2 linked regions of the Mus musculus genome follow. The protein of the gene in region 1 interacts with the protein of each later gene in a biochemical or structural test. Links are inferred from orthologs where the notes say so. Each region holds a gene or a part of one and is shown in the gene's direction. Other genes may lie near its edges.

Region 1 (3,654 bases):
ACCTTGACCAAGGCAACTGTTATAAAAATGAGAATTTAACTGGGCCTGACTTACAGTTTCAAAGGTTTAGTCCATTATCATCATTGCAGGAAACATGGCAGGACCCAGGCAGACATGGTGCTGGAGGAGTCGAGAGTTCTGTATCTTGATCCAAAGGCAGCCAGTAGGAGACTGGCTTTCTTGGGGAGCCAGGAGGAGACTGGCTTTCTCAGGAAGCCAGGAGGAGGGTCTCTCTTCCACACTGGGCAGAGTCTGAGCATAGGAGCTCTGAAAGCCTGCCTACACAATGATACACATCCCCCAACAAAGCCACACCCTTCTCCAATAAGGCCACACCTCCTAATGGTGCCACTCTCTATGGCCCAGCATTCAAACCACAAGAGTTGGCTAGGGGCTAGACCTAGTCAAACTGCAACAGTGTATGCATCTAGTTTTGAATGTATAATGCTGTAAAAACATCCCTGTCTCCTACCTCTGACCATTCACAGAGCCTGACATACTCCGAGTCTCTCATCTTCCCTGGGTGACACCTGGCCTGTGTTTTCCCTCTTTCCCACGTGCTTAGATCTCTTCATTCTTCATCTATATGACCCCTCACCTAAATGAGTCAGCCTCCTTGTATTTACACATATAAGAAAAATATTTTCTTGTCAAGTTCAAGCTATTGTCTATGCGAAAAGCTCCTAAAGGTCTGATAGTTGGATATTTAGGATGACTGGATATTTTTGGTGCCTGTACTTCTTCTGTTTTTTTTTTTAGCAAATAAATGTTTTGTATTATAGGTATACTATAGTCAGCTTAAAATCTTTTTAGTCTTGGGATTATAGCACACACCTAGCATACACAAGATGCTATACATTCTACTGAAGAAAATAATTAGAATAGAAAATGAAAATGCTTTGGTTAGGTTGGAACCTAAAGTGTACGTATTTCGTAATTTGTAATGATTGTATCTTTGTGGTTTACTAAATAACATAGGCAGTGTGAGAAGACAGAATAGAAACAGAAAAAACAGATTTTGTTAAATACAAATGACTTACTTTTCAGTATTGTATATGATGGAGCTTATTGTTAAGGGAGATTTTACTTTTTAAGGTTATAAATAGGACCAGCTAGGTAGTTCACTAGGTGCTAGTTGCTGTGTCTGACAACCTGAGTGACCTCTCCACGTCCCACATGGTTGAAGGAGAAAATCAGCTCTTACTAGTACCACACATACGTGTGTATGGGCACACACACACACATGCATGAATACACACACATGCATACACATTCCAATAAAATTTAAAATATAATAAAGTGATAAATAGCTCAGATGGGAGTAAGCTCTTTATATACCTTTTGCTTGTTTTAAAGCCTATTGCAAACTAATGGAAAGACTTCGCAAAACACTTGACTTTATGTCAAGGCTGTGCAGAATGCTGGTAGGATCTCAGAGCCTTTCCTGTTCACTCTTGTCTTGTGCCCTAGCTGTGCGCACTGTTTCCCTCTCACCAATGGGTTTTTATCCTTGTCTGTTTTATTAAGATTCCTCCAGAAATTGGCTGCCTTGAAAATCTGACGTCTCTCGACGTCAGTTACAACTTGGAACTGAGGTCCTTCCCAAATGAAATGGGGAAGTTGAGCAAGATATGGGATCTTCCCTTGGACGGACTGCATCTGAATTTTGACTTTAAGCACGTAGGATGCAAGGCCAAAGACATCATAAGGTCAGCTGACGTGATTCTGTTTGTTCTCTGTAGAATTCGCCTTGCCTTTCCCAGCTGTGTTTTTGATGACCATACAGAAACACTTTAAGGAAAAACATATAGACTATTAACACCCGTGTTTGACTGAAGAGACTATTAACACGCATGTTGGCATGCTTCCCATTTAATGGGTGTGTTTAGATGCAGCCCCTGCAAAGGCTTTTATGATTCCTTATGGTACAGGTGAGGGGCTTCCTTGTCACCTAGAGGTGATGTTGGGTGTCTATCTCCAACCTGCCTTGCGCTTGATCACGAATAACCTTTGATTCTGCTTCACTCACTGACTGAGTCAGGGTCTCTTTCTGAGCCTGTATCTAGCCAGGTTTCCCAGGAGATCTCCTATCTCTGTCTCCTGAAGCTCGGGATTGCCATATCTAGCCTGACTTTTGAGTGGTTATGGGCTCCTGAGCTCAGATCCTCACAGAAACAAGCACTTATCCACTGAGTATCCTCCATTCCTAATGTTTCCTTTTGATCGTCTCATCAGGGGACCTGTCCAGATGCCTGTGGCTGGCACCGATTAGTCATTATTCCTTAAAGTTCTCTTATGACACAGTTTGGTTTCTAATTTAAAAAGAGGCTATGGCACCAACCAAGCAACATACACGAGCTGTTCCAAGGCCACCGGCACATATGCAGTGGAGGACTGCCTGGTCTGGCCTCAGTGAGAGAAGAGGCACCTAACCCTGGAGAGACTTGAGGCCTCGGGGAGTGGGGAGACCTGGCAGGGTGAGGAGGGGGGAGTGGGAACATCCTGTTGGAGACAGAGATGGAGGAGGAGGAATGAGATGAGCAACTGTAGGAGAGTGGACCAGGAGGGGGATAATTTTTTTTCTAGCCTGTGGAAAAAAAAAAGATTAAAGATAATTTTTAAAATGTAAAAAAGAATAAATAAAAAAATAAATAAAAAGAGGCCCTGGACTAGAAAGAGAACAAAGAAGGGTTTATGGGAAGGTTTGGAAGACGAAGGAGGAAATGATATAATTAATATTATAATCTCAAAAATAAAGATATTAAAATGTGGCAAGAGCTAGCACAGTTTCGAATGTATTTTCTATATCTGTTATATTTTTAAAACTACTGGTACCTTTAAATTTTAAGTGAGTTTTTTCTGGAGCCATCTAGCACATTGATTTAGTTTCAGCTAATTTTACATTAAGTTTACTGAGAATAGCAATGTTAAAATTATTTGATAGTTTAATAGCTTATATAGTTCAAATGAACAGATAATGACCTTGTGTTCTTGTATACAGGACTAATGACACTCTTTGTATCACAATGCCATATATAAATATCTATTTTGTACTATACTTACAATATATGCACATATGTACACATATGTATGTATGTGTACATATGTGTATATAACACAACCAAGGCTGCCTCATTTTCAAACCTTCATTAAAATGGGCTTTGATTTATACACTTATTTGATTCTGTGCTACTGTAAAGTTTAAACTTTATAATGGTTAAGCTTTTCCTTGTACTGTTTAAATATCCTCCCACATTTACACGTGTATATGTATCTATGTACACATTGCATCTTAATAGATATTGCAAACAGATTTGGGGATTTTGATTATAACTGGTGATGATATAGCATGCCATACATCATTGTCAGTGCTAAAAAATATCATTGACTACTGTGAAACTACTAATAGAATAGAAGGCATGTGTGTTGTTGGTTCTGGTTACAGTTTCACATGCTTGAGTTTACACACTCTCTGTGGAACAACTTAGGCCTGGCACATGCCTCGGTAGGCTGCTATGTGGCTTCTCTTTATCCAGGTTTCTACAACAACGTCTGAAAAAGGCTGTACCCTACAACCGAATGAAGCTCATGATTGTGGGAAATACGGGGAGCGGTAAGACCACTTTACTGCAACAACTCATGAAAATGAAGAAA
Region 2 (3,599 bases), on another chromosome or scaffold:
AATAAAGAGGCTATTTAGAAAGATGCGGCCTCCAGCGGACAGTTCTGGTTTCAGTAGTGATTCATCTCTGGAAAGGAAGGGATTTAAAGGCCTTCAGCCTTTTCTTGGCCATGCCCTCACAAAGTGTAGAAATCTGATGTTGAAGCTTAGGCATGCCTGTCAAGTGCAGTGTAGCTTTGAAAGCCAAGTCAGAGGTGGTATGGGCTTCTCCTGTGGGTTAGGTACACTGCAGTCAGGTGGTGGATCCTTCTAGCTACATTGGGGGTTGGTTGGGAGGGATACCTACCCTAAAACACCTCATGATTATATTCTTTCCCTCATATCTGGAGCCCACTAGCCCACTAGGAAATTTTATTTTCTACGTGAAAGCAGGTGAAAGGTAACTGAGGCTGCTTTAAAGAGAAAGGGACGTCTTTCCTGCAGTCTGTCTGTCTCTCTAAAGTACTTCCCTTGACGCTTCTTTTGAAAACCAGTATAAAGCTTGTCGGCTCTAAGGCCATGCTCTTCCCTCAACCCACAGGAGTTCTATCCCTGTCTGTCTACACAGTACTTACAAACAACTCCTGCCTCTCGAATACTCTGATAACGATTAAATGAAGTCCCTGATAGCTGGACTTTGCCTTGAGCCTCTCTCTTTATCAGCTTCTTGGTGTAAGATAAGTTTCATGGTTAAACATGTTGCCTCTTGGTTGTTTGGGGGTTTGTTAATGGTGCACTAATTCCTGAATGTTAGGTGCATCTGGTATTCAGATGAAGTATGGCATGCATTCAAAGGCAAGAGAGTTCCATAATCCCTGAAATGTAGACCAGCTTTTCAGAGCATCTGAAGGAATGTGAAGAAGAGCATGGTACTCACTGCCTCTTAACCAGCTTTTCAGGATGCCACATTCTAAAACAACTCTTCGAAAATAATTCTCTGTATACGAAGCTTGGACTCCTTCAGAACTACTTTTGTTGTAAGCATAAATGTTTAAAGGAATTTGTTACTAATAGTTCTAGACTGAGTGCTACTGCTTATCAAGCAATGTGTTAAGCACTAGATATAAGTTACCTTGCTGTCCTTACAACTGCCTTAGACGGTGGTCATCCTGGTCCCCTTCCCCATTGTACAGCCAAGGAATCTGAGGCTTGGGGTCCCAAGGCCATCTCTCCAGGGTCACGTGGACACAGATAGTAAGCATCAGAAGAAGGCTTTCCTCCCAGGTCAGATGAAGTTTAAGCTTAGTTCTTGGCTGGTTGGTTCCGCTGCTGCTGCTGCTTTTTCTTTGCAGAATGGAAAGGCCCCACACACTCACAGTTACAGAAGCAGCACAAGTGTCAGGGGGGTTGTTTTGTTTTTAAGAGATAGACAGAAGAGTTGCAAAGTAAAAGTCACTGCCAGGCATTGTTAGTATTAGTCCTCCAAGGCTTTGCCCATGTTTTGTGTGCATGCCCCCACACTTCAAGATTAAAATGAGGTCTTCTTGTAGTCTTTTCCATTTGGATTTGGTTAGCAGTGTAGTTCTGGGCCATCTTTTTTCCATCGCATTCCACTGTAGTGGCTACAGTGTAAGGAGCCCTGTGGTGATCTGAGGGGCCTGGAACTACAGGCCCCTGCTCATAGAACTTGGCCAGATGGGATTTAGCAGCTTGAATGAAAATTGGTTGGGTTTTTTTGGGGTGGGGGAGTGGGTTGATTTGGTTAGTTGGGTTTGGGGGAGAGTGTTTTTTGGTGTTTTTTGGTTTTAGTCTTCAGAAAAATCAGTGGTAGTAATACATATCTTAAGCTCAAATGTAATTTTAACGTCTCACAAGCAATTCAAAATTCTTAATGTCACTTTTTAGGAGCTGTTGGACAAATATCTCATTCTCAATGCCACCCAGGCAGAAAGCAAAGTGTTCTACTTAAAAATGAAAGGAGACTACTTTAGGTATCTTTCTGAAGTTGCATCCGGAGAAAATAAACAAAGTAAGTAACATTTGAAGAAACAGCCAGTGCAATAGCTGATACTTCACGGTGAAACCTGGGTTTTCTTTACTGTAGACACTAAGTTCGAAGTAATGAGACACAATATTGTCATGTATGGGGTCACGGGGTTAATAAATCTCTAATGGATAGACATGAAGGGTGTTAGAAGTTTGGTATGTAATGTGTTTGGCAGACTCTTATCTGGGAACTGATACTTCCTTTTTGTAGGTACAACTATAGAACAATAATTCCCCTTGGCTATGATTTTGTTTTACCCACCTTTACTTACTGCATCTGTAGACCGAAATCTAAATGGAAAATTCCAGAGATAAAGGAGTCTAAATTTTGCCCAAAGTAACCCTGTGTGTGCTAGTCACCTAGTCATCACCTAGTTGCCATATTGGCTACTTGATTGACTACTTGAGTATGGCACTCTTTGTGTTCAAGTGACTTGATGGTTTCTAAAGTGCAGATTGCATTACAGTACACTGTTAAAACTGTTCTGTTGGTTTCCTGTGTTAATTTATCTGAGCATGTGTGCGAGGCTTCAGTACTGTCTAGTTTCAGCATCCGCAAATGAGGGAGACCTGTTTGAGACCACCATAAGGGAGAATCTATCTTTCAGCAATTGTAGCTGTTTTATTCAGTGTTCACTGTGTGCTAAGTAATTGGGCTTAAATTATCCTCTTAGCACTTGGAATTTAGGTGAGGTTTTCCAATAAAAGGAAGCAGACCTGGCAGTTAGGCCTTTCACTTGCTCCAGGCCACATGCAAGTGGGTTGAGAATTTGAATTTGTTTATGCCAATCTTAAAGCCCATCACTTTTTTTCACTAGATTATCCACATTTGTTCTTATGAAGGGATGTGTCTGTGTTTCTTGGCTGCTTTAACAGACTTTGTTATAACCGTCCGTTTTCTTCCAAAGCATTCAGAACAGTACTTAGCATAAACACTCAGCAGAGGTTTAGGCTGAGTGTTGAAGACATGAACCTTTGTTTTGATTGCTTGTTCGCTTTAGCCTCTTTACTAAAGTGTCTTGATAATGGATCCCGTGTGTGATGTGGCCTGTGGGAGACGCTAACAGTTTCATCTTCCTTCCAGCCACGGTGTCCAACTCCCAGCAGGCTTACCAAGAAGCATTTGAAATCAGCAAGAAAGAAATGCAGCCTACACACCCGATTCGCCTCGGCCTGGCGCTGAATTTCTCAGTCTTTTACTATGAGATTCTAAACTCTCCTGAAAAGGCCTGCAGCCTGGCCAAAACGGTGAGTAAGGAAAGACCCTTTGCTGTTCCAAGAACGTCCTTGTGCGTATGAGCAGTCCTCGCTGTCTTAGACATGTAAGCGTGCTCTAGGGGGCGGGGTTTAGGAGATGGGTGCAGACCTGCCACTTGGTCCTCGCTCGGGCTGTGCTGGCTGACGGCTGCTGTGCTTTGTTTGGGTCCTATTGGAGTCATTGGTAGAAGCTCCCAGGTAGAAAGTCGGAGTTCTCATCAGGCTTGGACATTGGGCGTTGTCATCTTTGTTCTAAGATAGGACTGACTCCATGAAAGAGGGAGCCCACACTTCGTTAGTGAGATGCTTTTTTCTGGTGAACACTGTTACTTGAAACTTGACTTTGGAAAGAGTGCCTGAAGTGGATTCTACACCGT

Evidence for each region. The genes of interacting proteins can lie anywhere in the genome.
Region 2: the proteins of Lrrk2 (region 1) and Ywhab interact on a protein array, tested with the Homo sapiens proteins (2 studies listed by BioGRID and IntAct, with this or other methods). The link is inferred for Mus musculus from reciprocal best matches to the Homo sapiens genes LRRK2 and YWHAB.

Annotation. Positions count from the first base shown.
Region 1 is NC_000081.6:91,746,125-91,749,778, forward strand, and holds part of Lrrk2 (leucine-rich repeat serine/threonine-protein kinase 2), read left to right. Parts: intron 1-1,527; coding exon 1,528-1,709; intron 1,710-3,536; coding exon 3,537-3,654. UniProt on the Homo sapiens protein: Serine/threonine-protein kinase which phosphorylates a broad range of proteins involved in multiple processes such as neuronal plasticity, innate immunity, autophagy, and vesicle trafficking.
Region 2 is NC_000068.7:164,012,182-164,015,780, forward strand, and holds part of Ywhab (14-3-3 protein beta/alpha), read left to right. Parts: intron 1-1,824; coding exon 1,825-1,948; intron 1,949-3,049; coding exon 3,050-3,213; intron 3,214-3,599. UniProt on the Homo sapiens protein: Adapter protein implicated in the regulation of a large spectrum of both general and specialized signaling pathways. Binds to a large number of partners, usually by recognition of a phosphoserine or phosphothreonine motif.